Tribolium castaneum: one gene and its partners. The protein of the gene in region 1 purifies or fractionates together with the protein of each later gene. This does not show direct contact. Links are inferred from orthologs where the notes say so. Each region holds a gene or a part of one and is shown on either strand. Other genes may lie near its edges.

Evidence for each region.
Region 2: the proteins of Sod1 (region 1) and Prx5 fractionate together in Homo sapiens (co-fractionation; 3 studies listed by BioGRID and IntAct, with this or other methods). This does not show direct contact. The link is inferred for Tribolium castaneum from reciprocal best matches to the Homo sapiens genes SOD1 and PRDX5.
Region 3: the proteins of Sod1 (region 1) and 10 kDa heat shock protein, mitochondrial purify together in Homo sapiens (affinity purification with mass spectrometry; 3 studies listed by BioGRID, with this or other methods). This does not show direct contact. The link is inferred for Tribolium castaneum from reciprocal best matches to the Homo sapiens genes SOD1 and HSPE1.

Annotation. Positions count from the first base shown.
Region 1 is NC_087402.1:12,361,725-12,364,642, reverse strand, and holds Sod1 (superoxide dismutase [Cu-Zn]), read left to right. Parts: upstream 1-1,277; 5' UTR 1,278-1,408; intron 1,409-1,465; exon of another isoform or gene 1,466-1,482; 5' UTR 1,483-1,606; intron 1,607-1,693; exon of another isoform or gene 1,694-1,769; intron 1,770-1,818; 5' UTR 1,819-1,824; coding exon 1,825-2,286; 3' UTR 2,287-2,388; downstream 2,389-2,918. Other genes in the region: ATPsynG (ATP synthase subunit g, mitochondrial), read right to left, coding at 856-1,115, 1,194-1,233. UniProt on the Homo sapiens protein: Destroys radicals which are normally produced within the cells and which are toxic to biological systems.
Region 2 is NC_087402.1:1,937,816-1,940,684, forward strand, and holds Prx5 (peroxiredoxin-5, mitochondrial), read right to left. Parts: upstream 1,492-2,869; 5' UTR 1,430-1,491; coding exon 1,322-1,429; intron 1,250-1,321; coding exon 1,115-1,249; intron 1,065-1,114; coding exon 741-1,064; 3' UTR 531-740; downstream 1-530. Other genes in the region: RNA-binding protein Rsf1, read right to left, coding at 2,470-2,869. UniProt on the Homo sapiens protein: Thiol-specific peroxidase that catalyzes the reduction of hydrogen peroxide and organic hydroperoxides to water and alcohols, respectively.
Region 3 is NC_087398.1:1,431,320-1,433,756, reverse strand, and holds 10 kDa heat shock protein, mitochondrial, read right to left. Parts: upstream 1,177-2,437; 5' UTR 1,021-1,176; coding exon 1,018-1,020; intron 965-1,017; coding exon 803-964; intron 747-802; coding exon 603-746; 3' UTR 531-602; downstream 1-530. Other genes in the region: NADH dehydrogenase [ubiquinone] 1 alpha subcomplex subunit 7, read right to left, coding at 1-252. UniProt on the Homo sapiens protein: Co-chaperonin implicated in mitochondrial protein import and macromolecular assembly. Together with Hsp60, facilitates the correct folding of imported proteins.

The DNA of each region.
Region 1 (2,918 bases):
TTTCTCATAAAAAACAAACTGGAAGTCAAACCCAAATCGCATTTTTTATGTCAAATGTTTAAAGGAGTTGTGTAACAGGGTGAGTCCACTGAAAGTATATTTTTACTATGCATTTCTCAAATGGTTATTTATGTAACAAGTCCGCAAAATAGGGTTTTAGCGGACGAATCGGATTAAGGACGAGGCGACAAAGGAGCAAGTTCTTAATGAGATGAGTCCACTAAAACTATTTTGTTCGACTAAAGTTTTTAACAAAAATTGACAATTAAAAAAAAATAGAAATTTGCTTTGAAATGAAAAATCGTTAGTCACGCATTTTTAAATATCTGTTTATATACTGTTAAATATAGTACAGAAATTGCATTTAATGAAAACTTTTCACATTTAAATAAAAACTGTTTCAAAACTATAAAAACTCCAACGTCGCATTTTACTGAATTATTTCATTAAATAATATTGATAAAACTGTAAAATAGTTATGAATGATTAGATCTCCCCTTGAAAGTATCTATAAATTACATTAGCTATTACGTCTTTGAAATGCATGAATAATTTATAACAGCTATTTTGAGAGAAAATGCGACGTTGGCGTTTTTATACTTTTGAGACAGCTAATATAATCAATTGAAGTGGCCTAAGTATATAATTAAGGACTTAAGCCGATTCAATTGAATTATACCTTACCATGTACCGTAAATTTTTTCAGTATCATATTTCAAGTTTTAAGTGCAAAATGTCAAATAAACATCAACACACCTACTTGATTGATCGCATCATAAAGTACAAACTCAAAAAATAAACCAGAAACACAATTAAATATGTTTATTACTACAACCTTGTGTTAATAACAATTTCTTAAACATCATAGCCCACAATATGACGTTTACCGATGCATTCCCCTACATAAAACCAACACAATACTTCAACTGTCACAAGGGTGTTCAACCAAGCCTCCTTGACTGGAGTTTCCTTCCAACGTCCCGTTCTAGCCCCACTGATTAGACGACTTATCCCACTGCGAATTTCGGGAATATCGCCAAGAGTCGGAGGCGTCAACTCGACTTTAGCGTACTTGACAAAGGTCTCAAGACGCGGTTTTGCCTCAGCCGCCAGTCCTTTGATAAAAATTACACAATTACGTAACAATCACAAAAAACGAAAAATAAGACACAAAAATGATCACAAATGCTTACGTGCGGCAAGAGCCGGAGCTTGTGAAATTAATTTCGACATTTTTCGGTGGTTTTATTGTAAAAATTGATAATTTGGGGCCTTAGAAATGTGTGACACTTGACAGCTGAGACTGGGTGTAGTGTTGCCAACCGGTCCGAAAGTTACCAAACACCGAACGATTTTTTTATTCTCTTAACGCAAAAATCGATTTTTTTGCCGTATTTTGTAACAAAATGTACGCTATTTAACATAACTGGTTTAAACTTGTAATTAATTGTGTCTTCATTTTTTTTATATTTTTTAATCAAGATGATGGCGCCCCCTGCTTAATAACTAGCGCGTCCTTAATTTAACCTTGAGAGTGTTCAATTGAACCGTATTTTTCGTTAAAGAAGTATTAAACCAGACATTCCGCTCCGTTTGACTACATTGGGTGAGTACTATAAATTCTACTATCATTTTGCGAATTAATTGCGCCCAAAAATAATTTTATTAGAAATCCGGCCTAACCTCACTTTTTGATCGATGAAATTCAAACATAACCTCACTTCCTGATCGAACCTTGGCCTCTCCCTCCTCGCATTTAATTTATAATAGTAGTGATAAACACTTGCCGAGTCATTGTAATCACTCGACTCGTTCTAGAACAAAATGCCGACGAAAGCAGTTTGTGTCCTAAACGGCGAAGTTAAGGGGACCATTTTCTTCACACAAGAAAATGGTAAAGCCCCGGTGCAAGTCACCGGCGAGGTGAGTGGGCTCAAGAAGGGGCTGCATGGGTTCCATATCCACGAGTTTGGGGATAATACCAATGGGTGCATTTCGGCTGGGGCCCACTTCAACCCCCATGGAAAGGATCATGGAGGGCCCACCCATGACGTACGTCATGTGGGGGATTTGGGGAATATCGAAGCCGGGGGTGATGGAGTTGCCAAAGTTGGTATTACTGATAAGTTTATCTCGTTGGAAGGGGAGCATAGCATTATTGGGCGCACTTTAGTGGTTCATGCCGATCCGGATGATTTGGGACAAGGGGGCCATGAATTGAGCAAGACTACAGGGAATGCTGGCGCTCGTTTGGCGTGTGGTGTTGTTGGAATCACTAAAGCTTAAGTTTTTTTTTGGTTGGAATTGTTTTTTTTTGCTTTAATTTCAAGTTAAATACGAAATAATTTTGTAGTGGATGGTGAAAGAATAAAATATTTTAAGTTTTTATTTTGTTGTATTATTTTTATTAATTCCATTTAGCAACAGTTACTTAATAATTACTCTTATTAAATAATTAATCTTAGTTATATCCCATTTCAGTTCATAGTAGAACTGCAATAGCGCATTTGAATTTTTTATAGTGAAAAATAAAGCACAAATTGAGAGTTTCTGTATAAGAAGATTCTTTGTTAAAGTAAATCCAGCGACACACTTTGAGCTAAGAAAATCTACCAAAAACTTTCATTTTGTGCTCCATTTCATTAAAAAAAATGCAAATGCGCTGTTGCAAAATTGTACTGTGAACTGAAATGGGATATATTAGCTGTTTCAAGACTAGAAAAACGCCGTCACATTTTCTCTCAACATTAGCTGTTATAAATTATTCACGCACTTCAAAGAAATAATAGCCGATATAATTTATAGTTTCAACGAGAGATCTAATCATTAATAACTAATTTACAATTTTATCAATCTTTGACACTTTGACAATATTTTTTTAATTTGCACTTTACATTCTTGTATTAGCTGTTTCAAAA
Region 2 (2,869 bases), about 10 Mb from region 1:
TTCCAAACTTTTTAAATTTTGTCTTGTTACTACGTCTATGCATTATGAAAACATGTGTTTTTTATATAACTACACTGTGATATAAAATGCAAAAGCGCTGACCAAAGTATTATGTACGTATTTTAAATAATTTATTGTGTAAATCGTAACAATTGTAATACAAATACCAAGAGTCAACATTTGATATGGTTAAATATTTTAGCATTATTTACTTAATTCTCGTTATATTGAATTTTACATATCTGTTCATAACACAACAATCTTTTTTAAATTATTTATTCTTTAATAAGACTTATTCATATTCATGGCAATGTGAGGCAAGTCAGGTGTAAAAACAGCAGAACCAATCGATACGATTTGCATAATTAAAAACTTTAACTGTTAGAAAAGCACAATTACTCAGTCGATATTTAAGCAAATGATTCCAAGAATATTTAATCATTTCCTTAGTTCCTGCCGACATTTGATTTAAGAAAAAACAATTTTTTAGGAAAATGGATATGGAAAAAGTGTTAATTACAATACGATAATTCTTTGTAACGGTTTATTAATTATCACTAGTACTATAATTAAACCTATAATAATCAATGAATGCTATTTGGTCTTGCAACGAGCCTTGAAAATAGTTTTAATCAGAAACTAAAAAACTTAGTTAATAATAAAAATATCAACCATAAATTCCTATCCTCGATAAAATAAAATAATGCAACATTACAACAGCACTTCAAAGACATGTTGCTTTACAATTTGATTGCATTGGCTAGGGAGCAGGTCAAGCCAGTGCCGTCAGGTTCAACCTGAAGCGAGGTAATTTTGCCATTGTCAACAACCATGGAGTACCTCTTGCTCCTAGTGCCCCCAAGTGGGGCAATATCAACAGTCAAATCTAAAGCTTTGGTAAAAGCGGCTGAAGGATCGGCCAAAAGTCGGACTTTTCCGGTTGTTTTTTGGTCTTTAGCCCATGCTGCCATAACAAATGGGTCATTTACAGAAACACAAAATATCTCACTGATCCCTTGACCCTTTAATTCCTCAGCTTTCTGTACGTAACCAGGTAGGTGAGTCTGGAATGATCGCATGTAATAATAGTGCGCAATTCAAGGACAGTTAGTACTTTCGAACAACCGGGTGTAAAAGCACCAGGGACTGCAAAAATGATTATTTTTTTACCGGCTGCCAGTTGGGCTAAGTTGACTTTGTTGGTCGGGAGGTCTTCAAAGAGGTCGACGTTTGGAAGGGAATCTCCGACCTGTTATAAACAATAATATAAACATAACCATTTTCACATGTGATTATGTTACATAATAAAGAGCTATATTACCTTTGCAGGCATGTTGAGTGCTGTTGTTGTTTTCAGTGTTCTTTTAACAAACTGAGTTAACAATGAGTTGCAAATGATTCTGCTCGACGTCAGTTGACCAACATTCATTTTATACCGGCTTTTAATTATTTAGAAAAGTGAATAAGAGATGACCTTGGTGTCTTAAAACGACTGCGCAGTGCAACCATGCACCCACCAGTACTATTCAATTTTTAATTCTCAAGGCAATTAATTGATTTAGCGTAATTCATCCGGAAAGCATTTGCAAGGAAATACATTTTTTAGTTACATTTAATCTAAATTCGTGTTCAGAATTATCCTCGTGAGTCACATCTGTAACTGTAGTAAATAATCGGTGGTAGTATTTAGTAAAGACGGCATTTGAACCTAGTTTCTGCGAACTTTTGTAAAATAATTGTATTCCCGATGGAAAAAATGTCACTGAAACGCAAAAGTAGCGAAATAATTGGGTTTCGCAAAATTTTATAGAAAAAATGCGCTTTTATGACCACATTCCGCCAAATAATGCAATTTTTTAGTTCAAATGAATTTAGTTTGTCAGATATTTCGCTTATGTTCTGTTGAATAATTTATTTATGAATTTCTCGGGATGCAGTTATTCCAGGAATAGTGGAATGTCCTTATTAAAAAAAATCATGGAAGCTACATAGGTACTCGGAAGGATAGTTTGAAGGGCAGCAATTAAAAAATGATCAATAAGATCTAACACTTTTATTATTAGTATTGAGCCTTTTGTACAAATAAAGAGTGGCGATTATTTAGTAAAAATATCGATTCGATATTTGCAACTGATTATGCCATTACAGTAAAGGGTGATTCATCCCACAAACAACAATGAAAAGAAATTAAGTAATGAAAAACAGTGAGACACACTGTGTATGACCGGAAAGCCATTAAAAACCGTGTGTTAACACGTGATATTTGTTAAGGTACTAGATTTTATTTCACTCTTACGAAGTAATAAAATAATCATCTAAGTTGCCCCTTGCAACAATAAATACGTCATCATCATCGTAAAGTTCAGATCCATATACTCACTTAAACTAGTCATACATCATCAGCTTTCCGCATTATTGTACTGAACGAAAATATAAAAAATAAGAATACAAACTATGCCTTAATCGTAACTAGTGTCTTGGTGGGGCTGCCGCCGGCGACCTTGACCTGAACCGGGAGCTACTACTATCGAACCTCCTGCCTCCGCCCCCTCGCCCATTGTAGCTATCACTCCTGCTCCCGTAGCCATCTCTCCTCCTGCTAAAATCCCTTCCGTAGGAGCGCCCTCCATCATCGCGCCTTCCTCCCCCGTAGGAATCAAAGCGGCCTCCAGGCCGCCCCCCGCGGCCGCCTCTGAAGCCGCGGTCGCCACCGTAGCCGCCCCCGCGGTACGGGGGCCCGCCTCGGCCCCGGCCGCCCCTAAAGCCCCCGCGGCGGGACTTGCCCCTCGCGATTTCCACGCGCAGCTTCGAGCCCAAGAAATCGGTGCCGTTGAGGCTATCACAGGCCGATTCGGCGTCGCTGTGATTG
Region 3 (2,437 bases), on another chromosome or scaffold:
TGTTTCGCCACTTGCTATCAACTTCTGTCCGGATGCCACGATTTCAGGTGGGGCCACTTCACGTCGTGCATCCCTTGTGTAATAATAATTACTGCTCAAGCAATGCGAAGGCCCGTCTGGGAGATTAGGTAACGGGGGTGATCTTGTGGCAATTTCGTCTTGGAATCGCAATGCCAAAGTGTGGGGCCTTCCCAGCAAAAAGTCACGAACTTTTTGCAAAAAAGGGGATATATCCCGAATATTTTTACTCATTTTGACTTGGTAATTTTGAGGTTACTTCGAAAATTGACGTTTGTTGCATAAGTGCGCACAGCCGACTTTGCGCACTGCGCAGATTGATGAAAACTGGATAGTTTAAATAAAATCGATTTTTTTTATAGAAATATATTTGGAAATATACACGAAATAACCTAAACTAGATGACTACAAAACAACACATTTTCAGACAGTAACATTTCAACTCTGCTGAAAATAACACGTCCGTAAAATTTAAGTTACCACAGATCATAAAATAGCAAAATCGAGGTTGATAACTTAAATTTACGGCAGACTTCTCATAGAGAATGTAACGAAATTACAAAAAAAAAGTACAAAAGGCGGTTTTACTGCGTCAATTTGGCTAGAATATCTGATTCCCTGAAAAGATGATATTCTTGATTTTCTTCAAGTTCTACTTTAGTGCCCCCATATTCCGGAAGTAGTACGTTATCTCCCACTTTAACAGTCAAGGGAACAGTCTCTCCATTCTGTTAAAAAATGCTCAAAGTCAGGAAAAATCCAAAACGTCAAAATTTCAACTTACATTATTCCGAGCACCAGGTCCTACGGCCACAACAGTCCCTTGCAAAACTTTGGCTTGTGCTTTCTCAGGAATTACAATTCCGCCTTTGGTTTTCGTGACCATTTCGGCTTTTTTGATGAGCACACGGTCGAAGAGGGGAATCAAGCGTTTGGCAGCTCCAGACTGCATTTTTTTGTAAATTTAAACACACGTTTAATTGCTAAGCGTAAACTTACCATTTTTTGTGTTTAATTGGCGGAAGTAAAGAAGAACTTTCGAGAAACTTGCCGGCAAACACGAGAATCAGCTCGAAACCGATATGAGGTTATCAAAAGTACACGAGGTTTTCAGTCGCACTAAATTGTCAAAATCCCCATTGTCTGTCTTTGTTTAAACTATGGAGTTGCATATCGCTATTTCTTTTTAGTGTGTCCGAGATTGCTTTCTAGAATAATCGTCGGTAAAACAGAAATCACGCCTATAGTTGCGTGCTTCAGCTATTGCCCACTAGAGAATACAAAAATAGGAGCTCCCAATTCAAAAATATCCATGGATTTTTTTTTTTTTAAATTATAACCAAAAATTAATTCTAGCCTTTACTGTGGTGTGCTCCTAATCTTTAGCAACAACTGTTAATTTTCATAAATAATTTTTTCTTTGAATTGGTAAATAACCACTTTTTCAACATTCTTTGTTTAATATTTCTTGTATTTTTGAGCTATTTGCAGAGTTTTGAAAAATATGGAAAGGCACCACAGTCAAAGTGCCGAAACTTTTCTCCTGGTTTATTTAATAGAACCAGTTTTTAGATACATATTCACTTATACTGATAAGTGATTTGTAATCTCTGAATGCAATTATGCTAATTTAGGTAAACAAAAATAGATAAACTTTTTTCCAAACAATATTAGCCGATATTGTGTGAATGTTTTGTTGGTAATGCATCGTGATCCAGTTTCTTTTTTATTCGGCGCGGCTTTTACCCATCAATAAAACATATCTAAAATATAAATGGGTAACACTCGCGCTGATAATATTCGATATGCACCCACTTAATAATTCAAAATCGGCCATTAAACGCCGCGTCGATACCGCACCATATCACAATAATACCACTTCCCCGGTCTCTCTTTTTAATTTCGTCTCACATTTTAATCAGTCCGCTTTTAATAAAACGGCCGTAAGCCAAACATATTAACTTTTTTCCGCACACAATTTATAATTTTTTAAGTTATTATAGAAGATGACGCTCCATTATTTATTTTAATTGCATGCGACCAGCGCGGAATCTTTTAAGGTCGATTTTAATTAAACGCGTCAAATTTAGACCACCAACGAAAAATAATAAACGCATCTTCGTTTTTAAGGGCGCAAAACACCCAAGCGAAATTTTTGCTTCATTTGGCACGATGCCGAACCGGCGAATGTCCCCGGGGTTGATTAAGTCGTGAGGGCTCTCCGCACGAGGATTCTACAAATTTGTAATTTAATCACACCCGGACTCGAAACAACCCACAACTAATAAATTATTTTTTAATTTGATTGGGAAGGTTAGGCGCTTGCACATATGCTATGGAAATAAATAAAAGGAGAAAAGACTTCATTCAGCTTGAATTTTTTGAGTTTTTTTTTTGAGAATGAGTAGTAAAACGCTAC